Linked DNA regions of Rattus norvegicus. The protein of the gene in region 1 purifies or fractionates together with the protein of each later gene. This does not show direct contact. Links are inferred from orthologs where the notes say so. Each region holds a gene or a part of one and is shown in the gene's direction. Other genes may lie near its edges. The genes, in order: Dhx15, Cherp, Gcfc2, Sf3b3, Snrpa1, Sf3b6 and Sf3a3.

The links.
Region 2: the proteins of Dhx15 (region 1) and Cherp purify together in Homo sapiens (co-immunoprecipitation; 3 studies listed by BioGRID and IntAct, with this or other methods). This does not show direct contact. The link is inferred for Rattus norvegicus from reciprocal best matches to the Homo sapiens genes DHX15 and CHERP.
Region 3: the proteins of Dhx15 (region 1) and Gcfc2 purify together in Homo sapiens (co-immunoprecipitation; 3 studies listed by BioGRID and IntAct, with this or other methods). This does not show direct contact. The link is inferred for Rattus norvegicus from reciprocal best matches to the Homo sapiens genes DHX15 and GCFC2.
Region 4: the proteins of Dhx15 (region 1) and Sf3b3 purify together in Homo sapiens (co-immunoprecipitation; 4 studies listed by BioGRID and IntAct, with this or other methods). This does not show direct contact. The link is inferred for Rattus norvegicus from reciprocal best matches to the Homo sapiens genes DHX15 and SF3B3.
Region 5: the proteins of Dhx15 (region 1) and Snrpa1 fractionate together in Homo sapiens (co-fractionation; 3 studies listed by BioGRID and IntAct, with this or other methods). This does not show direct contact. The link is inferred for Rattus norvegicus from reciprocal best matches to the Homo sapiens genes DHX15 and SNRPA1.
Region 6: the proteins of Dhx15 (region 1) and Sf3b6 fractionate together in Homo sapiens (co-fractionation; 3 studies listed by BioGRID and IntAct, with this or other methods). This does not show direct contact. The link is inferred for Rattus norvegicus from reciprocal best matches to the Homo sapiens genes DHX15 and SF3B6.
Region 7: the proteins of Dhx15 (region 1) and Sf3a3 fractionate together in Homo sapiens (co-fractionation; 3 studies listed by BioGRID and IntAct, with this or other methods). This does not show direct contact. The link is inferred for Rattus norvegicus from reciprocal best matches to the Homo sapiens genes DHX15 and SF3A3.

The regions. Positions count from the first base shown.
Region 1 is NC_086032.1:62,998,670-63,002,697, forward strand, and holds the start of Dhx15 (ATP-dependent RNA helicase DHX15), read left to right. Parts: upstream 1-1,228; 5' UTR 1,229-1,396; coding exon 1,397-1,467; intron 1,468-4,028.
Region 2 is NC_086034.1:17,411,497-17,415,049, forward strand, and holds the end of Cherp (calcium homeostasis endoplasmic reticulum protein), read left to right. Parts: coding exon 1-114; intron 115-258; coding exon 259-392; intron 393-714; coding exon 715-801; intron 802-885; coding exon 886-1,029; intron 1,030-1,105; coding exon 1,106-1,222; intron 1,223-1,401; coding exon 1,402-1,496; intron 1,497-1,614; coding exon 1,615-1,800; intron 1,801-1,879; coding exon 1,880-1,920; 3' UTR 1,921-2,915; downstream 2,916-3,553. Other genes in the region: C16h19orf44 (uncharacterized protein C19orf44 homolog), read right to left, coding at 2,916-3,068. UniProt on the Homo sapiens protein: Involved in calcium homeostasis, growth and proliferation.
Region 3 is NC_086022.1:116,073,660-116,076,824, forward strand, and holds the end of Gcfc2 (intron Large complex component GCFC2), read left to right. Parts: intron 1-1,075; coding exon 1,076-1,200; intron 1,201-2,157; coding exon 2,158-2,275; 3' UTR 2,276-2,454; coding exon of another isoform or gene 2,455-2,459; 3' UTR 2,460-2,665; downstream 2,666-3,165.
Region 4 is NC_086037.1:55,698,622-55,702,121, reverse strand, and holds part of Sf3b3 (splicing factor 3B subunit 3), read left to right. Parts: intron 1-2,149; coding exon 2,150-2,324; intron 2,325-3,500. UniProt on the Homo sapiens protein: Component of the 17S U2 SnRNP complex of the spliceosome, a large ribonucleoprotein complex that removes introns from transcribed pre-mRNAs.
Region 5 is NC_086019.1:129,062,050-129,065,614, forward strand, and holds the end of Snrpa1 (U2 small nuclear ribonucleoprotein A'), read left to right. Parts: intron 1-337; coding exon 338-431; intron 432-2,804; coding exon 2,805-2,863; 3' UTR 2,864-3,065; downstream 3,066-3,565. UniProt on the Homo sapiens protein: Involved in pre-mRNA splicing as component of the spliceosome. Associated with sn-RNP U2, where it contributes to the binding of stem loop IV of U2 snRNA.
Region 6 is NC_086024.1:33,548,495-33,551,765, forward strand, and holds part of Sf3b6 (splicing factor 3B subunit 6), read left to right. Parts: intron 1-5; coding exon 6-124; intron 125-3,088; exon of another isoform or gene 3,089-3,271.
Region 7 is NC_086023.1:142,262,407-142,265,906, forward strand, and holds part of Sf3a3 (splicing factor 3A subunit 3), read left to right. Parts: intron 1-394; coding exon 395-462; intron 463-725; coding exon 726-833; intron 834-2,512; coding exon 2,513-2,582; intron 2,583-3,500. UniProt on the Homo sapiens protein: Component of the 17S U2 SnRNP complex of the spliceosome, a large ribonucleoprotein complex that removes introns from transcribed pre-mRNAs.

The DNA.
Region 1 (4,028 bases):
AGGTTGTATTGGGTATTGTGAAAGTAACAAAAAGATATTCATTTGAATTTGTACTGATGGATGATACAAAAATAGAAGCTGTCATCTGCCATGTTTCTGTTGTATTTAATCTTTTGAGAATTTTTGAGGGACTAGAGCCAAGGAGCAGTCAAGGAGAATCTTGACATGAAGTGATACTCTGTGTTTGGGCTGATCATTAGAATTCTTTCCCCCCACACTTCTGGAAATAAATGCAATTGAGCAAGCACATAGGCTGAAGGGAGAAAGATACACAACCTCTTAAGTGTCACCTTCCCTCAACAACTTGCCATTACAGTGGAGTTTTAATGGATGCGCTATTTGTTGATTTCCTTCAGTCTAGGTGATTATGTCTATAAAATGTCTTTCAGGGTTCACTCTACTAAGGAGCACAGCAACTAGGCATGCTAGGGCATGTCTTTAATCCCAGCACTGGGAGGCAGAGACAGCACCTGATCTCTGAATTCCAGGCTAGCCTCTTCTACAGAGCATGTTTGAGGACAGCCAGAACTACACAGAGAAACCCTGTCTTAGAAAACCAAACCAAACCAAACCAAACCAAACCAAACCAAACCAAACGAGGACAGAGATAGGGTTAACATCTCCAAGTGCCTAATATGTACTCATATATACACAAACGGAGAGAGACTAGGGCAGAGGATTGGAGAAAAAATAAGGTGTCCAGTACGAATTCCTCCAATTTTCTGAACCCTATCCAAAACACCTATAGATTGAATAAATACTGTTCTGGGGTAAGTGGACAAAACGAGTCACAGTAAATTAACATGTTTCTCACCGCGGCTGGGAATCTGGCGCAACAACTGCAAATTCCTGTTCTGGAGTTATAAAATAATTGTGCCCTGCTCTGCCACTTACCAGCTGTGTGATCTTGTTTCCTTAAGCCTTCCTGAGCTTCAGACCCTAAAAACAAAAGTAAATACACAGCTGGATAGATTTCCTAATTAGAACTAGGCTTTTCCAACTTTCCGAACGAACTCCAGGCAGCAAGTGACAGCTTGAGGCTCATCTTCGTCCTTCGCAATCGCTCAGAGCGGCTCACAGCTAGGAGGAGAGGGGAGGAGCCCGCGGGGCGCAGAGCCATTCAGCCAATGGCACATCGGGCGGGACGGGAGTTCCCGCCTCCGGGCGGCGTGCGCGCGCACCACGCCGGCACGCCCGCCGCGGCGGCGCGCGCGCAGGCCCTGCCCTCGTCGTGGCCGCCATTTTAGCTCCTGGTTCGGGCCGCACGGAGCGGTCTGTGGTGGCGGGAGGGGTGGGGGTCCCTGCGAGTTGAGCAGCGGGCCTCTTCTGTGTGGATCCGGCTGCTGGAGTCTCTCTTCTTCCTTCCTTCCTAAGCGTCCGCTCTGGGAGTGCGAAGATGTCCAAGAGGCATCGGTTGGACCTGGGGGAGGATTACCCCTCCGGCAAGAAGCGTGCGGGGACCGATGGGTAAGACAGACCGGGTGCGCAGTCGCGGCTCGGGCTTTGTTGGCTTGTGGCGGGGAGCAGGCCCGGCAGCCGAGTCTTTGTCTGCCATCGGCCGGCTGGGGCGCGGGCCGAGTGTGTGCGGTCAGGGTGAGAGGCCTGTGGTGGCCACGAGGCCGCGGGCGGCGGGCGTGAGGAGCGGGCCGCGAGGCCTCGGTGCTCGCGTGAGGCCCGCAGCCGGGGAGAGTGTCCGGAATGGGGTGGCCAAGGGCACTGCCCCTTGAGCGGCCCCGGGCGGCGGCGGGAGCTGTCTACTTGGGGATAAAGACCAGCCGACCTCGGGGCGCACTGTTTGGCGGGAGACGGACGGCCTCCTTCCATTGAGGCACTTCAGAAGAGGCCGTTGCCAACTTCCGCCCTCTGCTTGCCCTCCCGCCATCTCCTTTATTTCCTGCTTTGCTTAAAAACCGGCCTTGCTAAGCATCAGTGGGGTAGGCCTGTGAAAATACGTAATCTCCCTCCGCTCTGTAAGTTATTTCTATCTCCTCCCGACTTTGGACGCACTTTTCAAAAAGTGATCTTAAGCGTGTTTGAACAAACAACACCCACGTGCAGATTGAGGAATGCTTACACCGATTCTTGGTCTGGCAGTTTGGTTCCTTTTCCTAGACTTTTGCAAAGACGGGGCATTTAGCATGTAAGCAGTTGTATTATCATTTTCCAGCTTTTCTGTGACAGTTCATACTTAAAATGTACTTTAGCTTATATTCCTACCCTTCCATTTTAATTAACTGTATGTTTATACTTTGGCAGTACAGAGATCTGTTTGGTTAGTTAAAAAAATATAACACAGAAGTCCGAATGTCCAAAACTGTTGTATGCTTTTATCATTTTCTTACGTCCTGTGACACTAGCTGTCAAGTCAGATGTGTGGTCTCTTGAGATTTTAAGTCTTTTGGGCTTGCTTTCTAACTACCAATGGGAGGTATAGGTCAGGATAGGATGTGTTCTGATGCTCTCCTTAGATTGAAATATTGAATATGGAAAGTAGGTTTGTTATGTTTTGATTCTGTAGTTTTTTTTTTAAAGCTTGTAATACTAAGCATTGTAATAATACAACATCCCAAGACAGCTAGCTATTCCCGCAAGCAAAAATTCCAAGCGTTCATATTTGAGCTCAGTCAGTTCTTAGGTAGAAATACAGCTCATGATTATTCTCCAAGGGAGAGCAACATTACAGTGATCTTTTCCATACTTTACAGTGGCATCTAGAAATCTCCTTTTCTCAACATGAAACATAAAACTGTAGTTAAACATTACCACCTGTCATAATGCCATTCTTATTGGATTGATAAAGTGTAGTGATTGTCACATTTGGCTAAGATGCAACTAATTTCCCACTTAGAGGTCACTCTGAGATAGTTCTTTTCAGTGTTTTTGTGTGTGTGTGTTCACTACTCAGTGCATTTATTTCGATTAGTGGCTCCACATTGATCACAGTGATCATGGTGATTTCTCTTGCTAATGTATAACATTGGTAAAATGGACTTTGGGTGTATCATGGTAGCTTCATGTTTTCTCTGAGTATTTAATATTTGTCAGTAAGTACAGGAGAGTTCAGTTGAAGAGTAATTCCTTAATTTCTAGAGATTCTGGAGGGCAGTTGTTGCTGTTTCGTAAGTGTTTTGAGTACTTTTTCTTATAGAACTGATTTTCTTTAGCAATGAGTTTATACAGTATTTGTGCTTGGTATCTATTGATTTTCTCTTCCTCACTTAGTTTGAAGGCACTTTTGACTGCCAGGGATTCTGTCCCTCCTCTCCTCCCTCCCTCCCTCTTTTCCTTCCTTTTTGCTCTTGTTTAGTGTATTTGACAGCATAGGCTTGTTCATTTTGTCACCCCAGCTGTCACCAGACCCTGTTGTCTCCATTCCAGCACACTTTTGTGTGTTTGGGTGTATGACCACTGCTTGTGGCAAGCAGAAGAAAACATGGAATTAGATACTTCCTCTTGACCATGCTGGCCCCAGGGGTCAACTCAGTTTTTCACTCTGAACCATCTCACCAGCTCTGGAAAATCTGAGGACATTTTTATTCTAATGGTTCTTAGTATTCCTGATCGAAACTCAATAATTATGATTCTTTGTAGGTAGAAGTGTGTTTCACTACAATCCTGTGGTAGCTGAAATTAAATAAGATGCAGTGAGCAAGAAATTTTCACACTTTAAGGTATAAAGAAAAGAGCAGTAAGTTACTCCAAATCATTATTTCCATCTTTGGAGACCATACTTATTCTTAAATACAAAATGTAATATCTGAGCTCTTGGAATTTGGGGCCTATTTGTGCAGTACTCCAGTTATAAGGCATATCTCTTGTCTTGCTCATTGATATTAAGTGCTTTCTTGGGTTTTTTTTCTATAGATATGTATACATATTAATGCCCATGCTTAGTAGTGTTTATATAAAATATCTGAAGTAGATGACTAGTTTCCATCCTTTTTAGCGCAGTATATTAGTGCCCGTTATTATTCCAAGTACAATTTAAATGGAACATCAGTAGTAACCAGTATTTGCCTGGTGCATTT
Region 2 (3,553 bases), on another chromosome or scaffold:
CCCCCCCACATGCGGCGACAGGGCCCACCTCACATCAACCATGATGACCCCAGCCTGGTCCCCAATGTGCCCTACTTCGATCTTCCAGCGGGGTTAATGGCTCCCCTTGTGAAGGTGATACTGGGCCCTGACCCGGGAGGTTGAACATGGGAGTGGGGCATACTGGTATTGTCACGCTGAGTTCCTGCCTTGCTAAATTCCACTGGGTGGCCAAGTAGGACTCCTCAGGACCCAGGCAACAGCCATGTTCTCCTACAGCTGGAGGACCATGAGTACAAGCCTCTGGACCCCAAAGACATCCGCCTGCCACCCCCCATGCCTCCCAGTGAGAGGCTACTTGCAGCTGTGGAAGCCTTCTACAGCCCACCCTCCCATGACAGACCAAGGAACAGGTAGGGAAGTTGGTGCCCCAAGGCCTGGCTGAGCCCCCACCCACTAAGTCTGTCCGGCAGATGAGGACTTCTTCCTCTGCACACTGCATTGGGCCTGGAGTGATGGCCTTGTAGCATCCAGCCTCGGCCCAGCCTGCCACAGCAGACACTAAGAACAGCAATGGGCATGATAGGAGGTCTCCTGGGATTTGGGGGGAGGGCTGGAGACCCAGCAGAACCCCAGCTACCTCTTGGTTAGCTTCCTAGTGCAAGGGACCCCCTTCCTGGCCACTGTGGTCCTTGGGGGCTGACGCAAGCCTCTCATGGGGACCATGTCATGCAGCGAGGGCTGGGAGCAGAATGGCCTCTATGAATTCTTTCGAGCTAAGATGCGGGCACGGCGGCGCAAGGGCCAGGAGAAGAGGAACAGGTGAGCTGTGCTCGTTTCATGGGGCTGCCATTGTGGCATGTGGTTGCTGTTCACTGCCGTCCTCACTGTGGCATTTCCCTGCAGTGGCCCCTCCAGGTCACACAGCCGGTCCAAGAGCCGAGGCCGTTCCTCATCTCGCTCCAGCTCACGATCCTCCAAGTCCTCAAGGTCCTCCTCCCGCTCACGATCCCGGTCTCGGTCCCGCTCTTCCTCCCGCTCCAGGTCCAGGTAGGCACATGGGGAACCTCAGAAAACCCGGGAGCACTATTCCTGCCCATGCCCCATTGTCCTGTTGCCCCCACAGAAGCCGCAGCCGGTCACGTTCCTCCAGAAGCCGCTCACGCTCCAGGTCTAGGTCCAGGTCCAAGTCATACTCCCCTGGGAGGCGGCGTCGCTCCAGGTCCCGGAGCCCCACCCCACCGTAAGCCACAAGTGTGGAAGTTGTCAAATATACCCCTGTTGCTAAAGAGTGGGGTGGCACCCCTCCCACCACTGGGCCAACCCACAGCCTTTTCCCTCAATGCTTAACTGACTGACTGCTCTCAGTGCTCAGGGGCCTGTTGTAGAGGTTAAAGCTTAGAGAGTGTCTCTTCATTCCAGCTCTGCAGCCGGCCTGGGTTCTAACTCAGCACCTCCCATACCAGACTCAAGGCTTGGAGAAGAGAATAAAGGCCACCAGATGCTGGTGAAGATGGGTGAGTAGACCCGACCAGTGCCAGCTCCCTGCCTAACCATATGTTGGGATACTGCTGGGGGTTCATGTCCCAGGGGACATGGTCACACCCCACCTCGTGTGTTTTTTCTTCTCTGAAGGCTGGAGCGGGTCTGGTGGCCTCGGTGCAAAGGAGCAGGGCATCCAGGACCCCATTAAGGGTGGTGATGTCCGAGATAAATGGGACCAGTACAAGGGTGTGGGCGTGGCCCTGGATGACCCATATGAGAACTACCGCCGCAATAAGAGCTACTCCTTCATTGCTCGAATGAAGGCCCGAGATGAATGTGAGTATAGGTGTGGGTGGGCACGGCAGGCTTAGCTTTCTGTGGGAAAGGTGGGGGTGACAGCCCTGTTCTCATACAGTTTCCACGTTTGGGGCGCGAAAGGAAGAGAAGGAAGACTGACCACAGGCCTCAGCTTCACAGTGTGGAAGGGCTTGTCCTGCGTTTGCCCTGGAGGAGGTGCTGCAGATACCACTCGCAGTGCCCAGATAGCAAAACTCAACACCACCCCCCAGCCCAGAGCCCAAGTCCCACCCATAGTGCTGCACAGCCTAGAGCCCAGTAGTGAGAAGGCTGCCTTGCACTGAGTGTGGCAACCAGAATAGCCTGGCCTCTGAGCTGCAGAGGTCAGAAGGCTCCACCTGGTTTTGTGTTAGGAAAAACAAGTACTGACCCCTGAGGCAGGGATCATCTGACTCCTGCCTGACTCAGTTCATCGTTTAGTTGTATTTTTACCATCCATTTCCATAAATGTTAGCTGTTTGCCTCTATTACCTGGACATAGCTTCTGACACTGGGCTAAGTTCTGGTGGGTCAGGGGAAGATGGCCTCCGGAGCCCCTCCACCTAGTGCAGCACCTCAGCTTGGGGCTTCTGCCTGGGGAAGCCAATACCAGCGCAGAGCATGGAGTGCTGGGCTCCAGCCAGCCAGCACCTCCTGTGCTGTTGTTTAAGGAGCAGCCTGGTGCCATTGTTTGTACACAAACTTTTGAAACATTCTTTTCAATAAAATGCAGAGTCCTACAACTTTTCAGTACCATTTAAGACACTTGATTTTTGTTTTAGATTTCTCATAGCTATGATGTTCAGATGTGTCTGACTCAGGATAAACAAGCAGATACACCTGTGCTGTTAACAATTGATTGTGGATTTTACTGTTTTGCCTTCCAATAAAGCCTTTTGTAAAAGATTTCCTCCAGCTGTGGGTGAGGTGCCCCAGGGTGCTCAGCCCCTGCATGGCGTGTTCTCATGGGGCAGCTGGTCCCGTCCTGGATGACTGATATGCCTGGCACATGCTGTCTGTCTGTCACACTGGCTCATGGCTGGCCCCATCCTGCACCACTGCCCTGTGGTGGGTCCACGGCTGTGTCCTCAGCAGCCAGCTGGGCAGATGGGAGCTTAGAGTCCGTCTATGGGCTCAGCGGGGAGAGCTGCAGCCTTGCTTGCCTCCACATGGCTGTCATTGATGTCGAGGTGGACTTCAAGCTCCTTCCTCACCTCCTGCAGGGCAGCCTCCATGGTCAGGGGTGCAGGCCTGTGGCACCTAATGTACTGTAGGACATAGAGCATAAAGAACATGATGCATGCACACAGGAAACTGGGAGATACTGCTCCAGGGTGCCCTCACGCACAGTGGCCCAAGAAAGGCCATGGTGCTACACTCAAGATGTCCTGGGGTGAAAAGCCACACTGGGTACAGATAACAGATAACATGGTCAGACTGGAAAGAGGGCAGTCTAGGGTAAGAGGCTGGAGATGCCACGTTAAATATCTCATGGTGAACTGGTTTTAGAAGCTGCACACACTGGGATCCCAGCACTTGGAAGGCTGAGCCCAGGGGATGGAAAGTTCTGAGCCAGCCAAGACCCACCAGAAATAATGTGGGGCCTATAAGATGGCTCCCTACTAGGCCTAATGACCTGACCTCAATCCCCAGGAGACCAAACTCCAGTCAGAGTCCTAAGAGAGGCAGCTGCCACACTGTCTGGAAGGGCACAGGACCCGTTCCTGCCAGTGTCCACATCCGTGTGGAGCCG
Region 3 (3,165 bases), on another chromosome or scaffold:
TGTCTGTCTGTCTGTCTGTCTATCCATCCATCCATCCATCCATCCATCCATCCATCCATCCATCCATCCATCTATCTATCTATCTATCTATCTATCTATCTATCTATCTATCTCTCTCTCTTGAGGCAGGCTATGTCTGCTGACTAGGCTGGCTAATTTAGAACTCAGAGTCCTTTCTGCCCCAGGCCTCTCAGATGCTGGACTTAGACACCTATCACCATACCCAGGTTACATCCTCTGCTGCCATTTTGTACAACTGCTTTTAAGGCTGGCACTGGACTTCTTTATTTCCAGCCCCTGTGTTCCTTTACTGTGCATGTTTGGTGTTTTGGCTTTCTCCTTTCTGGTCTCAGATCCTCATCTTGTGGCCATCCAAGTTTTCCTCTCCTCATTGAGTTCTCTCCTTTTCCTTCCTGTTGCTAAGAGGAAGTTACTTGTCTTCAACATTTTTCTGACTTTCCCCAAACTCTTCTCTAATCTTCCGTGTTATTTTTGAAGAAGGATTTTTTCGTCTTTGTCTTCTTGAAACAGTTGCATGCGTTGTATTGATCTGTTTGGCAACCATGGGCATGGATAGCACATTGGATAAAAGACTTAGAATCACCTGTCCTTTCCTCCTCTCCAATGTCTGAAGACTGTGGAATATAAACATTGCTAGAAAGTGCAGAGCAGATGCCGTCTGCATATTTATGCCTCTAGCAATGAAGAATGATTGCTAATCAGGTGGCTTTGAGCTTTTTTTTTTTTTTTTTTTTTACTCTTGTTATTCTATATGTATGGGTGTCGTGCTTCTGTGTGTGTCTGTACTGTGTGAATGTAATGCCTGAGGAGGCCAGAAGGGGACACCAGATCTCCTGGAACTGGAGTTGCATATGTCTGTGAGCTGTCATTGTGGGTTATGGGAATTGAACCTGGGTCCTCTGGAAGAGCAGCCATTGCTGGTAACCACTGAGCCATCTCTCCAGCCCCTGAAGAGTGATCTTTTTAATGCCATGTTACCTTTGACACAGGAAAAAGAAATCTCAAACTTTCTTTGCTCTTATCTTGTAATCCTGTCGTGTGTCTTGACTGACAGATAGCAGCATGTCTGCCAGACAAATGGTTTGAGAACTCTGCTATGAGGACATCACTTCCCCAGCTAGAAAACTTCGTTCAGTTTTTGTTGCAGTCTGCACGCAAATTATCCACAACTGAATTCAGGTAATGCTCAGTTTTTCACCTCCAAAGCATTGTGCGAGGATTTTTAATGTTGTTAACAATTTTGAGCAAGTTTTGCACTTATATTATAATTTTTTAAATCTGGGTCTTGGGATATAACCAGTCTGGCAGAGTATTTGCCTAGCAACAAAAGGCCCTGGGCTCAATCCAAGTACTCAGAAACAGGCACTGTGGCACGTGCGGAATCCATCCTTCTGTCGTGCTGAGGAAGTCGACTGTTCCCGTTAGCTACCAACACAGTGGCATTGACGCTGACAGCACAGTACTGTGGAGACCCTGATGACGGGCTTGCTCTGTGTTCTGCTTTGTGTTGCCATCGCATACAAATTTTCCAAAATATTGCGTATTGGACTTTGCAGTTGCAATCGTGAGGTGTATGAAACTGTGGTCATTCTGAGAACTACATCATTGGCAGTTTATGTCTGGCCAGTACTGCAGTGTGCGTATAGAAATGGGTGACGCAGGCTGCTACCGATAGACTGTAATGCACATGTATATGTAGCTAATACAAAAATACACAATGTGGTCACAGTGTCCAGTACTGTGGACAGCTCATATGCTGTGCTTTTATAGAGCTGTCAGCACATTTGTTCCGACCAGCGCATAACAGCAGGTAATGTGTTTCATGGCGGCATGCTAGGGACTAACCAACACCTTGCCTTTAACTGAAGCATCACTGCGTGTGATGAGGTACAGAAGGGATAGCGTCTCTGTATTGTATGCAGCTCTAGATACTGGCTTGGGTCCTCAGTCACCATTGTTACTCCCTTCTGAGCTGTTATAGTACTGTTATTATCGCTTTCCTTTCATTTTATTCCATCTCGTTTTGTGCTAAGGATCAGATTTAGGGCCCCCTGCCCGCTAAAGACTTTGTGTCTCTCATGTGCCTCCAGCCTGGACTGCATAAGGGGTGAGTAAATGCTTTTTGGCTGTTTTCAGGAATGAACTCAATGGAATAATTCTTATCCTGGTGAAGGTAAAGGCTCTGAGTCAAGCTGAATCCCTCACAGAGGAGCATCGCCTGGAGCCCCTCACAGCCCAGACGGCAGGTGTGTGAGCGTGCTGTACAGAGGTCCATGATGAGAGTGGACAGCGCCTTTCCTGTATATAGATGACGCCTCCTGTCCGCTGTGCCCACCGTGGCTGTGTGGAAAGCTTCCTGCTGCTGTGTGTCTGAGGGAAGTACATGCATGAGGCGGCTGGCGCTCAGTGTGCTTCTCTTTTATTCTCTCTCAGTCTGAGAAGATGATGAGGAAATCTGACACACAGAAGCATGCCCCGCGTCAAAACCACCTTCAACAGACTCCAACTGTTTACAAATCAGCTAATGAGGGAAAAACTTTCTATCTCTTGATTTCTTTTGTCTTATTCTTTTGTGGAGACTGGGTCTCATTCTGAAGTGTAAGAAATTGCTTATTAATATTAAATGGTTAATACATTTTTATACAAATTATCCTTTCAAAATCTGTACTGATTGATTGATGAACTTAGGTTAAGAGAGCGCGAGTGAGTCTCCAGATTTTAATTCATTGACAATTTATTAAGAAAAAAATTTTTGAAAAGAAGGTATATTTTTATATGTTTGCTTATGTATGTTCCTGGGTTTAGCACTGCGTCCATGTAGGGGCCAGAAGGCATTAGATCTCCTAGAACTGGATTCCAGGAGGTTGTGGGCCACCTGATGTGCTGGGAACCAAACCCAGGTCCTCAGAAGGGATCTTAACCACTGTGCTGTTCTCCAGCCCGTTGAAGAATGAAGATGTGTCGGTTTGGGTCACCTATAATTCTTTTTGAAGTGTCCATCTTTTTCTACAGGAATACTGATCTTTTGCCTATGTTCTGACAAGTAGCTTTTCAGAAAACTGACCACTTTTCTTTAAATTTTGTGTAAGATTTTTTTGGTAACAAAGTTATCAGCTGGTAGCAAGTGAGGCTTTTTTGCTGTTT
Region 4 (3,500 bases), on another chromosome or scaffold:
CTCTACCGCTGAGCTAAATCCCCAACCCCCCGTTACTTATTTTTTATGATAGAATCTTCCTAGGTAGCCAATGCTGGTTGGCTTCAAGATCAAATTTCAGTTGCTCGCTTGGAAGGCCACTGAACATTCTAGTACTTACTGTTAGAATCAGTCACATAAACTTTTTGACTATTAGTAAATGTGTAAATGTTTATCTTAATTTTTTGTGTGAATGCAGGTTTTCTTTTTTCTTTTAAAGGCAGTTTTTGAAAGAGTGAAATAGAAATATGATTACTGTTGTGTTGTGGGGTATTTGCCAGAGTCTACTGCTCAAAAATGAAGCCTCACACAAGGAAAAGGATCAGAAGTATGGTCACCAAAGAGGCTCAACTGTAGGCTTAAAGACTAGCTTGAGGTAGCTCTGTCTTCACGAATACCAGAGGGCCACCCAGTGCCCAACAGTCATCCTTGGATCTAGGGAGTGTTTACACGGACCAAAGCTTCAGTTTATCAATTGTTACTGTAGGGTGGGGCGCCCAGTGGGCTGGAAAGTTAGTCTGTTGCAGGTAGACCAGAGAGATAAGGGATAGGGCCTTAATGCGGCTTAGATTCCCAAGGGGAAAACATGAAGGCACCAAGATAACCTACCAACCAAGTTACATGACACCAACATTAGGGTTTCACCAATGTTAGGGTTTTGTGGCAGAAGGAAGTGTGCCTTGGTGGATTGGGGCCAAAGAACACACACCACAAAGTCAGGCCATGTAAAAAAAAAACCTCATGTGAGAGGCTTATTGTGGGGCAATATATGGAGGGAGGCTGCCTCTGAACGAGGGTGGAATAGAGGATAGGAATGGTGAAGGCACTGTTTATAAAGTGGTGCGGCACAGAGCGAGAATACCCAACTTGTGACAGTGGAAATGTGTCGCATTTAGTGGCCACTGTAGCGTACTGAAGTTGTAGTTACTGAACTGTGGATGTTAAAGGTGGAATTGGGCGTTTCCAACATGTTCAAATGTGCCTTCATCAGTTGTAGTCCAAAGCTGGAGAGATGGCTCAGTGGTTATGAGCACTGACTGCTCTTCTAGAGAACCTAAGTTCAATTCCCAGCAACCACATGGTGGCTCACAACCATCTGTAACACATCTACTGGTGTGTCTGAAGACAGCGACAGTGTACTTGTATACATAAAATAAGTAATTTTTTTTTTTTTTTTTTTTCGGAGCTGGGGACCGAACCCAGGGCCTTGCGCTTCCTAGGTAAGCGCTCTACCACTGAGCCAAATCCCCAGCCCCAAGTTTTTTTTTTTAATGCAGTCCAAGAATAGAGTCGTGAAAATTCTGGTGCTTGTGAAAAAACTCCAAGAAAACAAAGAGTCTGCCCTCAGTTTCTTCAGAACACAGAGTTCTAGGAATGTACTGTGTTCCTTCCAGGTGTGGCAGAGTTTGACTGGAGTTGTGATTCGTGTTTCTCTGGGTTTTTGCCATGTATGGCTTGTCCTTGTGATTAAATACTCATGTGACTCTGAAGCTTCAGGGTATAAAATGGTGATGCTCAGAATCAAGTTGGCTATTCAATGAGAGTTTAGCCTCATTTTTAGGCCCTACTCTCCCAGGTTCACGAAACCAACTGGAGAGATAAAACACTCATCCCTATTTTTTGAGGCAGGATCTCTCACTGAAAATAGTTTGTGAATTAGCTAAACTGACTATCATCAAACCCCAGAGATCCTCCTGTCTCTTTTCCTTAGCACAGGGATTACAGGGCCTGCTGACTGCTGCGCCCTCCTTTTTTTTTTTTCGGAGCTGGGGACCGAACCCAGTGCACCCTCCTTTTAAATGGGTTTTAGGGTCCGTAACTGGGGTCATCATGGTTCCATACAAAGACTCTACCAACTGAACCTTCTCCATGGCCCCTGAACTTCATATTGTCACACTGGCTATAGAACAATAAGGTTCTACAGTTCGCTGTGTTCAGGAGTGAAGGCGCAAGTTCAGTAGAAGTGGGATGCGCTGCTGAAGAGGGACTCTTCATGGCTCTCCTTCCTTTGGTGTGTGGTCCTTTAAGCATAGACAGTTGTTTCCTGTTTTCTGTGCCTGATCATGCTTGATTTCATGGATTCCTAAGCTGAGCGAGCAGTGTTCTCTAACTCCTTTGCTTATTGCCGTAGGATTTTGGCACTAGAGAAGCTTGGCGCTGTCTTCAATCAAGTGGCCTTTCCTTTGCAGTACACACCCAGGAAGTTTGTCATCCACCCTGAGAGTAACAACCTTATCATCATAGAGACGGATCACAATGCCTACACTGAGGCTACAAAAGCTCAGAGAAAGCAGCAGATGGCTGAGGTAATTACTCTCACCTTGAAAGGGGTAGTTTCAAAAGGCTTGTCTATAAAGTTGTTTAGAAAAGTTTAAATCTAAAACTTGTCTAATTCTCTTCTCCCTGCCACATCCACACTGCTTTGGAGATAGTGGTCTCAGACCATAACCCTGGCTCTCCAGGAACTCTTTTTTTTTTTAAAGATTTATTTTATTTATTATATATAAGTACACTGTAGCTGTCTCCAGATACACCAGAAGGGGGCATCAGATCTCTTTACAGATGGTTGTGAGCCACCATGTGGTTGCTGGGAATTGAACTCATGACCTCTGGAAGAGCAGTCGGGTGCTCTTAACCGCTGAGCCATCTCTCCAGCCCTCTCCAGGAACTCTTAATGATCCTGCTGCTCCCAGCTTTCCAAGTGCACTGCCACACATAATAGCCATAGTCTTTGTTTTTTGAGACATTTTGCTATCCACTATGTAGACCACAATGGCCTTGAACTTTACAGGGATTTGCCTGCCTCTACCCCTGGAGTGTTGGGATTAAAGGTGTACGCAACCACACTTGGCTGCCTTTGTTAGTTTTAAAGCACAGTGGTATTATTCGTGACCAGCATGCGCAAAGCTCCAGGTTAGATTCCTAGGACCTTTTGGAAAAACAAAGGTAAAGTGGGTTGGACCCTAAAGCTACAAGGATAAACCAGCCCCTTTGCAGGACTTCAAGCCAAGTTCTTTGCCCTGTTCTCCCTTTGACAGGCTTTTTTGTGGCCTGGTTACTCAGAATTCAGTTCCCTCTGTGGAACTAACTGTTCTCTAGTCCTTGAACTCCCACAATAGGGTGTTACGTGATGCCTTGATTTGAGCCCAACCGCACAGCTTTCAGTTTTCCCTCAGCACCAGCTCATCCAAAAACTGTTTGCCAGCAAAAACCAACTAGCACCAAGCATGTAGAAACCATATCTAGTCTAAGACAAGTAGTCGTAGCCAGGGAAACCCGGGGGCACTGTATGAATGAGCCAGGTTTTCACTTCTGAGTTTTGTGCACCCCCCCCCCCACTACAACTGCTAGGGTTTTGGGGGGGTTGTTGTTGTTGTTGCTGCTGGGTTTTTATTTTCCTTTTAGTGATCTCTTTATTTTACATTTCTCCCTTGAACCTTTTTTTTTTTTTTTCCTTTTAAATTGTGTGTCTGTTTGACTTG
Region 5 (3,565 bases), on another chromosome or scaffold:
GGAGATTGCCTTAGTTTCTTTGCTTTCCAAGATTTGCTGGCTGACAATCCTGGTTGGAATGTAGGTAGAAAATCCTAAAGTCTCCAGTAACAGGATTCCAGACAGACTTAGCTTTTTAAGGGCATATGAAATGATCACTTCTCTTTTACAAGAGCCTGAATCTCCTCCTAAATATGAAAATTGACAGCCTGTTTTCTAGGTTGATTTGTAATGTGCCAGTGAAATCCTTCCCTGACCCAGAACTGTGTGGTTGATGTTCTATGGGAAAGTGCTTGGGCCTTCGGTGGTGCTTTCCGGGTACTGGTCATCACCATCTCCCCTTTCCTGTGTTTTCTAGAATGCCATAGCAAACGCGTCAACACTGGCTGAAGTTGAGAGGCTGAAGGGCTTGCTGCAGTCTGGCCAGATTCCTGGCAGAGAGCGCAGATCAGGTGAGGAAACTCTTCTGTCTGAACTTGCAAAACGTCACACTAGAGTGATTACACAATACTAGCTGACTATCGTGATGATTAGGCCCATAATCCCTGTATTTGGGAGGTTAAGCCAAGAGGGTAAGAAGTTGAAGGTCATTTGTGGCTACAAAACAAGTTTGAGACCAGCTTGGGCTATACAAGACCCTTTATCAAAAAAAGGGAAAGAAAAGGAAAAAGAAGAACAAAGGCAGGAGGCAGGGAGGGTCAATAAAGAAATTTAAGCCACTGGGATATGTATGGGGTCTTTACAAGTTGTAGTAAAACATTTCATATGGACGGAACTAGGTTCTAGAGGTGACTGAACTTCTGAGACACATGCTGTATAAAGGACATGTTGGTGGACTGACGCGCTGCATATACAGTAATGATTCCACAGGGCAACAGCTTCAGAATTCCTCCACCTGGTATTCTACTGTGTTTTTTCTGTGCTTAGATATGTACAGATGCATTCAGTTCTCTGTGTTATTGAGAGCAGTGACATGTTGTCTATGTGCATAGTTTAGGAAAACAATTGCCTTCACCAGGTGGGTTAATAGCCTCTACCATTTAGGTGTGTGTAAGTGTCAGGTTCATCTTCACAGAATAACAAACTCTCCAGTGGTGAAAAGTTTAGACCATAATCTCTGGAAGCAAGGTGTTGCTGTAAATGGTAGTTTAGTGGGTCAGCACAGGCCTTATGAAGAGCCTGACCAGTACTGTCCTTGGGCAAGTTTCATCATTAAAGGTAAATATCTTCATCTTTAAGTTTCAGATAGGTACTGTCATTAAAGGTTTTCGGGAAGACTGCTGTGTTTGCTAGGTGTTAACAAGTCTGTTGTTCAAATGTCCAATTTGTGTCCGCATGTCAAGCACTAGAGATGCACTATTCAAGTACAGTAAACACAGTACAAATTTGAGTATGAGTATCCCTGGAACGACTACCATGACAGCTTCCCAAGGATCATTATCTTTGAGCTGTTTTGGTTCTTTTTAGTTTTTGTGACCCTAGTCAGATTTAGTCAGATTGCTTGCATGAGTATGAGGTAAGGGTGCTTGCTGGAGCAAGGGCAAGTTACAGTGGGTACCCTGCTGAAGAAAATGGCTCTTCTACTTCAGCAGCTTTCAATTGTCAGTCGCTCCTCAGGGAGAGTGTATGAGATATTTTTAAGAACTGTGGAAGGGGTTGGGGATTTAGCTCAGTGGTAGAGCTCTTGCCTAGCAAGCACAAGGCCCTGGGTTCAGTCCTCAGCTCCGGGAAAAAAAAAAAAGAACTGTGGTACTGTGTGGTCTCTAGGCCCCTGGGGACAGGCAAGGTAAAATTATTTATGTAGTAACTCCAAGATGTTCGCTTTTTCCATTTAGTAGCATCTTCAGTGGTTAAAAACTGCTGGTGCCTCAGCAAGGCCAAGGGATGCTACTTGCTCTCTTCTTCCTTACTTCCACTCCCATTAAATATATACCATTCTGTCATGGTCCTCCATGAAGAAATAAAAGTGATTTTTCTGTGGTACTGAAGATAGAGCTCAGTAATAAAACCATGTTTAAGTCCCTGAGTTCAGTCCCTAGCACTGACCAATGATAAAACTGAAGATTTGAAGCAAAAATTAAAATTTGGAAAACTTGGGCTGGGGATGTAAATCTGGTAGAGCACTTCCCTGACACACAGGCTTCACCGTTACTAGAAAGACAGTTAAAGAAAATGTAGGTCTGTGGGTCTAATGTTACAAACATTTCTGGGGACGTCAGTGGGGCTGCTAATGAATCATGAAAGTCAGCATTTGAAAGACGTACAAGTGTTCAGGTGCTTGCTGTGGGTACAAGGTGCACTCAGAGTGCAAGGTAGAGTAATGGGCTGGAGGTGAGAATGGGAAGGATTCCAAGAAAAATTCAACTTCACTTTGTGAGCTGTCTGTAAGAAACTGCTGGTATAGCCAAACAACGCGTGGTAACGTGTATCCATCTGGAAAACTGCTGTTTGCTTCCAAATAATAGGCAGACTTGCCAGTAGTTTCCCCAAACATTTGAATATGGCAAAACTTTTTGGTGTGTGTGCGCGCGTGTGCATGTGTGTGTGTGGTTAGAGACAGGATCTCTCTACATAGCCCTGGCTGTTCTAGAATTTACCAAGCTGGATTTCAAACTCAGAAATCTGTAGAAATCTGCCACAAATTGTGGAACACAGTTGACAGTCGTGTGTGTGTGTGTGTGTGTGTGTGTGTGTGTGTGTGTGTGTGTGTGTGTGTGTACGTATGCACATGCTCATGTATGTTCATTTTTTTAATCAGTGTGTGTGGCATGAGAGTGAGTAGGTAATACAGAATGGACGTAACGTGTTCCGTGGTTCTTTCTTAGGGCCGAGTGATGAGGGTGAAGAGGAGATGGAAGACGGCACAGTCACAAATGGGTCCTGAGCTCTGGCAGGTGCTCTGATAAGCTCGTGGGATGTCTTGCATTTGAGCATTGAGTAACAGCCTTGCTTGTGTCAGCAACGTGGAATCTGCAGCTTTGCTGAATGATCAGAACTACTGCTGATAATTTTTTAATAGAAACCTTGAAATGGCAATGCCAATTTTCTACAAATGGTAAATAAAGGCAACCTACTGTGCTGCCAAACTGTGTGCCCTGTGTTTGCCGTGAGGTATGCGGTGGTTAAGTGAGAAATTGGAGAGCTGGTATTCCAGAATAGACATTACTCCTGCTCCTGAAATATTAGATTCTTCCTGAAGGTAAAGGCAGGAAGCCTTCAGGACTAAACACATAGGCATTCTGTGACCTTTTTAATCAACATACATGAGCATCTCACAAATCAATTTAAAATGATTTGAAAATTTTTAAATAGGAAATGAGACATTTGCTTGTTGGTGCTATAGCATGAGCAAAAATAATCTTCCAGCCTGTGGGACAGAGGCACAGAGGTCATGGTTTCTCCGTGGGGCAGGTTAAAGCACATTTTCCTTGGCATCTGGGCTTCTTACTGTATTCCTTATCTAGGAAAGATTTTGTTATTAAATACCAGTGCCTCAGTTTCCCTGCTCTGCCTTGTTGCCTTGAGAATAGTGCCTCCCACTGAGCCTCTCTTGCAGCCAGCAGGCGAATCCCAGCACTCTTCTTAT
Region 6 (3,271 bases), on another chromosome or scaffold:
TTTAGATCCGCCTCCCACCTGAAGTAAATCGGATTTTGTATATAAGGAATTTGCCATACAAAATCACAGCAGAAGAAATGTATGATATATTTGGGAAATATGGACCTATTCGTCAAATCAGAGTGTAAGTCTTTCTGAGACTTAAAATGTCACTTAAAGGATATGGTTGCTTAATCTATAATCTCAGAATTGTAGCTGGCAGCAGGACTACACGTGTGGTATGTAATGATGTGTCTGTTTTGCAGTGGGACTACAAGACCCTTGAGTAAAAGTTCTTTCTAGTATCATGTAGTAGTGATAAAACTTCTAATCCTTAATGGAACCATTAAACTATACAGTACTTGTGCCATTGAAGGGTCCCTCAGAAGGGATTTCGAAAGCTTTACTGGAGAGTCACAAGGTTTCTCTTTAGGGAGGCACCGTTAGGAAGGTCCTGTTGGTTTGAACCCAGGGCGCTGCACATGCGAGGCAGGCATAACCCCAACCCCACTATATTTTTTATAAGTTTTCTGAAGTAAGTGTAGTAGGACAGGCCTATAATCTCATTTTGTGTGGTGGAGGCAAGAGTTGAAGGTGATTCTCATCTATAGAGCCTGGATTTCTTATAAGACTGTGTCTCAAATCAAGTCAAAGGTTTTCTTTTTATAACCTCAGAGCCCCCTTCCTGGCTTTTAGGACTGTGGGAGCCCAAGGCCTTTGCTTTCACATGACCACCATCTCTCCTGGGAGTAAACTGCTTCCTGGTTATATATCATCACTTGTGACACATTCCCATTAGTAGACAAATGAAGATGAAACATAAAACAGGCACTCTCTTTTGAAGGTCTCAGTCCTTTGAGCAACTGCTAAGGGCTTTGTACTCCCTACCTAATACAGTTTGTCCATATTTTGAGGGATGCAAGAACTCCAGGTCCTTCGAAGAACAAAGAATGTGTGTAGATTGTCTCTGGTTTGGGAGCCAGGGAACAAAGGTTTGCCATTAATGCCTGTAACTAGCCATGTGACAAGTGACCAGACTTGTTGGGTTTTTCTTTCTTCTGTAAGATAACTTGGGTGGTGGCCCTTTGGTTCTCAATGTGGAGGCAGTGTGATAATCGACTGGATTGGTTGTTAGGCCTGAGTTCAGATACTAACAGAGTCTTTCAAGTTAGGTGAGACTGGGCAGACTGTTTCATCTGTTTGGGCTTCAGTTCTCTATGAGACACTTAGCTTGGATCAGGTTGCACAGTCTGAACATACACCACTCTCCATAAAGCCACTGAACCTCTGTCAGTCCCTTAGTTACTTAGTTACTGCTAAGGCTAGCTATTTATTTATTTATTATGAATACAGTGTTCTCCCTGCATGTATGCCTGCATGCCAGAAGAGGGCACCAGATCTCATTACGGATGGTCGTGAGCCACCATGTGGTTGCTGGGAATTGAACTCAGGACCTCTGGAAGAGCAGTCAGTGTTCTCAACCTCTATCTAGTTAAGAGCCATCTAGTTAATACATGATCATGTTAGTGCCCATGAGCTCACCTGCCTTTCTTGGCAGAGGTGACTGCCTGCGAGTTTCGTGTTGGTAGTGGTTCATGATTGATGCACAGTAACCACCCACATACATAAGCAACTGAGTAGGGCTGGAGATGCAGCTTAGTAGTTGAGTGTGCAAGGCCTTGAGTTCAGTCCGCTGTGCTGTAAATGAATATAACCGTAGCATGGCTGTGATTAATTTCTGAAGGCATTATGAAGCTTACTCATAGCACTCACAAGAGATGCTTAAGTTGAAGGTAGAGAATGATACCAGAACCCCAACTTAAGAACCAGCACATAGAACACAGCTGTAGTCAGAGCCACACTGGAAACAGAGGCAGAAAGACCGCAAGTCTGAGACCAATCTGGGCAGTATAGTGTGGTAAATTAAACACAGCAGGGGCTACAGCTTGGTAATAGAGTGCAGTCAAAGCTTGAGCAAAGCCACAGTAGCTCAGGGCCTCGGCTTCCAAGGTCTTTCAGGCTGCCCAGCACAGCTGCTCTTACCCGGCTCCTTCTCAGCCTATTCTCAGCTTTGGGGAGGACTTTTCAGAGAGTTTTCCCTACGCCCCAGTTAAAGTAGCTCTCCTCACTACTCTGTCACAGCTCTCCTTTCCTCATGTGGCTCCATATGATCTGGGATTCACACTTTTTATGTAATGTCTTGTTTGACAGGAGGAAGGGGTGATGCCTACCTTTCACTGTTAGTTCTGCTGCCCATCCTAATGCAATGTGATTGTTGAATAGTCATAGAATTTTGAGGCCCAAGAACCTGGATCTTAACTGCAGAATGAGAAACAACAGATCTGTTCCCTCCCTGTGATCAACCTCTGTTACTTACTAGATGCCAGTACTGATTTTGTTTTTTTTTTTTTTAGAGAGGTTTTTCTGTATCCCTGGCTGTTCTAACTCACTCTTTAGACCAGGCTGGCTTTGAACTCAGAGACTGGCTTGCCTCTGCCTCCTGAGTGCTTGGGCCACCACCACTCAGCTAGTACTGATTTTCTAGAATGGAACTTGGTAAAACCTAGCCAGGCTTCTTCACACACCAGGACAATTAATCACTCAACTGATCAGCCTGACATGCAGGAGACACTTGGTACTTTGTGTTCTTTACAGCCTTCAATAGTGTTGCCTTTTCTATTAAAGTCTTGCATAGGGGTTGGAAAGATGGTTGTGGTTAAGAGTGCTTCCTGCTCTTCCAGAGGACCCAAGTTCTGTTCCCAACACCCACATTGGGTGGCTCACAACTGCCTGTAACTCTGGTTCCAGTTGGATCCTACATCACGTCTGGCCTCCAAGGGCACCTGCTCTACATATAAACACCTCCGCACACAGCATGCACATTTGTCTGTTTGAGAGTGTTTATTCAGATAGCAGTGGCTGTCCTGGTGTGTAGACCAGGCTAGCCTTGAACTCAGAGATCTGCCTGCGTCTGCCTGCTGAGTACTAGGATTAAAGGTGTGCAACACTACTGCCCAACATATAAGTCATTTTTAAAAACATATAATATAGGACAAATATCACCGAGATCAGTATATGATGTAAAGTAGCTGAAGCTAGAAAGGCCAGATTGTGAATGAGGTTTTTAATTCCTGTTTACTACCAGTCAGGAAAACGTTACGCTCAGTGCGCAGTACATGACACATTCCAAATACATGCTTTTAAAATTCAGATTATAGTGTAGAGTTCAAGGTGTGAGGTTGAAGTGAGAGCTAGGACCCCTGAAATGGAGAATGTATAAAGTCAGGATAAG
Region 7 (3,500 bases), on another chromosome or scaffold:
CTATGATATGATGTCATAGGGTTTAGAAAGTTAGAGGGAGACTGAGGCAAGAGAATTGCTGTGAGTTTGAGGCTAGCTTTAGAGTAAGATCTGTCTCAAACCCAAAATCAGTTATTCTAAAACAAAGCAAGGAGCTAGAGACAAGTGTTCAGTTGGTGGGGTACTTGCCTAGCATGTGTGAGGTTCCGAGTTCAGTTCCTGTCTCTGCAAAAAATACTTCTATGAGTGGCCTCCCTATGGAGAGCCACTGAACACTCCCTTCCCATGGTGGCTGACTCTGGACATGGCAGTAGTCAGTCTTTGGGGACTGAAAGGTAGGAGGCTGACTGTAGAATGTAGTCCTGCCTGGGGAAAAAGCTAGTCATGTTGTGTTGTAACCGATTTCTCTTTCTAGGAGTTGGCATCCCTGGGTCTGGACAGATTGAAATCTGCACTGTTGGCTTTAGGCCTGAAGTGTGGTGGGTAAGAACCTGGTTTTGCTATCAAAAACCCTACTGGCTGTGTGTTTGGATGATCCTCTAAGAGGCTGTGATTTTGTTGTTTGATTAACACACACTGCAAAAATCATTTTGTACAGTGTATGATGGTGAATGCCTTTAACCCCAGCACTGAGAGGGCAGGCAAGTGTCTGTGTGTGAGTCCGAGACCAGCCTGGTCCTTAATAATGAGTTTCTTTTAAAAAGAAAAAAGACCATCTGTGTAGTATGTACCTCTTACCTCCTTAGGACCCTAGAAGAACGAGCTCAGAGACTCTTCAGCACCAAAGGAAAGTCCTTGGAGTCGCTCGACACCTCTCTGTTTGCCAAAAATCCCAAGTCAAAGGGCACAAAGAGGTGAGTAGCTGGTTCACATCTCCACTCTGGTTTTTACATTTCTGTCCTATGGAGCCTGCTTTCTACTTCTCCTTTTGCTTTGCTTTTCCCCTCTAAGTCAGGCTCTCCCATAACTCGGATTGGCCTCAAACTTGCTCGTATCTGGGCACGACCTTCAGCTTCCCCCATGGCATCTCTGTCTCAGAAGGTTGCTCTTGCAGGCATGTGCCACCAGGCCTGGTTGGTTGGTTGGTTGGTTTTCCTTTTTTTTTTTTTTTTTTTTTTTTTTTGAAACAGGGTCTCACTGTGTAGCTCTGGCTGTACTAGAACTCACTATGTAGACCAGTCTGGCTTCAAACTCACAGACATCCAGTTGCCTCTGTCTCCCCAGTGCTGGGATTAAGGAAGAGCACCATTAAACCCAGCTAAGGATCGCACAATTTTTCTTTTTCTTTTTTTTTTCTTTCTTTCTTTCTTTCTTTCTTTCTTTTATTTATTTATTTTTTTGAAAGTAGATTTTTTTCTTTTATTGAAGGTAGATTATTGTCTCCTACAATTTATCCTGATTATAGTTTGCCCTCCTTCTATCCCTTCTCGTTCCTCCCCCTTCCCTCTCCTCCCCTCTCCTTCCCTTCAGTTCCACTCCCTTTCTATCTGTTATTAGGAAAGAATAGGCTTTTAAGAGAGAACAGCCAAACGTGACAAAATAAAATATGATAAGGTGAAGAAAAAACTATCATATCAAAGTTAGGCATGGCAACCCAACAGAAGGAAAAGTCTCAGGGGCAGCCAGAAGACTCAAAGATCCATCCTAGTCACAGTCAGGAGTCCCATAAAAACACTTGAGCTAAAAGCCATAATATATACACAGAGGACCTAGTGCAGCCCCGTGTAGGCTCTGTGCTTCAGTCTCTGAACTCTTATGTCTCCCTTTGTCGATGTGGAGAGCCCGTGCTCTCCTGCTGGCCTCTCTCCTCTGTCTCTTACCTCCCTGCTCTTCTTCCCTGAGCTCAGGGGAGGGATTTGTTAGAGACCTCCCATTTAGACCCTCTCTCCACAGAGTGTCTGCTGTAGGCTCTGTGTCTGTTCCTATCTGCTGGGAGAAAGCTGCTCCAGTGATGACTGGATAAGGCACTGATCTAGGAGCAATGTTTTAAGGGCTCCCTGAGTTAGACTTTGTCTCAAAATAGATTTTTTTAATACTTTAATTTTATTAGTGACAGCTGGGTATATTTATGAGCTGCATATGTATACAGGGTATTGTTTTTTGATTTGGCCTTTTTTTTTTTTTCTCCCTAATATGTTATACCAATCCTGGAAAGTGGTTGTTAATCTGATTTTTGCAAGGACTTGGGAAAGTTGCTAAATGTGACCTTCCTTGCAGTTGCAAAGCAGCGGAATTAGGACTTTGTATCGTTACTTGCTTTCAGGGCTTCTTATATATTGCATTCCTTTGTAAATCACAGTGGTGCCATACAGTTGAAGTGGTCTCACAGGCCATTCACTGTACACACAAAGTCAAGATGAGACTCCCTAGCTTCTAAGAACTGCCCTCAGGATTTGAGCAGGGAGGCTGCCTCGTGTGGCCTGCTCACATGCTTGAGATTGTGTAATTCTGTCACAGAGACCGTGTTCCTGACAGGGAATAAAGCTTTCGATACAAAGAACCCTTAATTGATACAGCTTGTTCTTGTTCTCAGAGACACTGAGAGGAACAAAGACATTGCTTTCCTGGAAGCCCAGATCTATGAATATGTGGAGATTCTTGGGGTAAGTGCGATCTTCTAGAGCCGTGCATAGGAAGGATTTTTTTTTTTTTTTTTTTTTTTTTTTTTGGGTTCTTTTTTTCGGAGCTGGGGACCGAACCCAGGGCCTTGCGCTTCCTAGGTAAGCGCTCTACCACTGAGCTAAATCCCCAGCCCCGGATTTTTTTTTTTTTTTTAAGTTCACATAAGGAAGTGGGGTGGGCAGTAACTTAGTTCACCTCAAAGTATGGTTCTCTTGAAGTCCTTGGCCCTTCTTTTGGACTCCTGTTGTATCGTTAGGTGATATTCCCAAGGCTGCCCAATTCTCATAAGGTCAGACATAGACAGTAGACCCTGCCTGTCTCCTCGTTCAGCCCGATCTAGAGTAATGCAGCTCTTTGCTGAGCTTCAGCATAAACCAGGGGGTGACCCAAGAAGTAGGCACTCAAAAGGCAAGCCAGAGGTGACTCAGCGGTGCTTCAGACGTGACTTACTGTGGCACAACAGTTTGCCCCATGTTGAGACTGAAACCTGGCAAGGCTAGAGGAGGGCCAGTACGAAGATGGCTATGGACAGTCTCCTCTTGTAGGGTCTCAGGAAGTGCCCTTCATACCTTCCTGCTTGGTTTGAAGTGCTATCTCCCTGTTTCTGCTGCACGTGATGCTGCAGGCTAGTATGCCCATGACCTTCCAGACAGTTCTCTGTCTCTGTCTCCTGTGGTGCTGTAGGAGTGCTGAGGTTGCAAGGAGGGTGGCTTTTACATGGGTTCTGAGGCTTCAACTCAGGTCATCAACTGAATCATCTTGCCAAGCCAACTTAGCCTTATTTTACAACCAAAACCTTCCTTTTGGAAGTGAAGGGCAGCAAGAGTTAGAGGAACTGTCCCTTCATGTCCTGTACTGATGTGATCTGTCTTTGTTTTGCTTTTTCTCTATGCCTCACC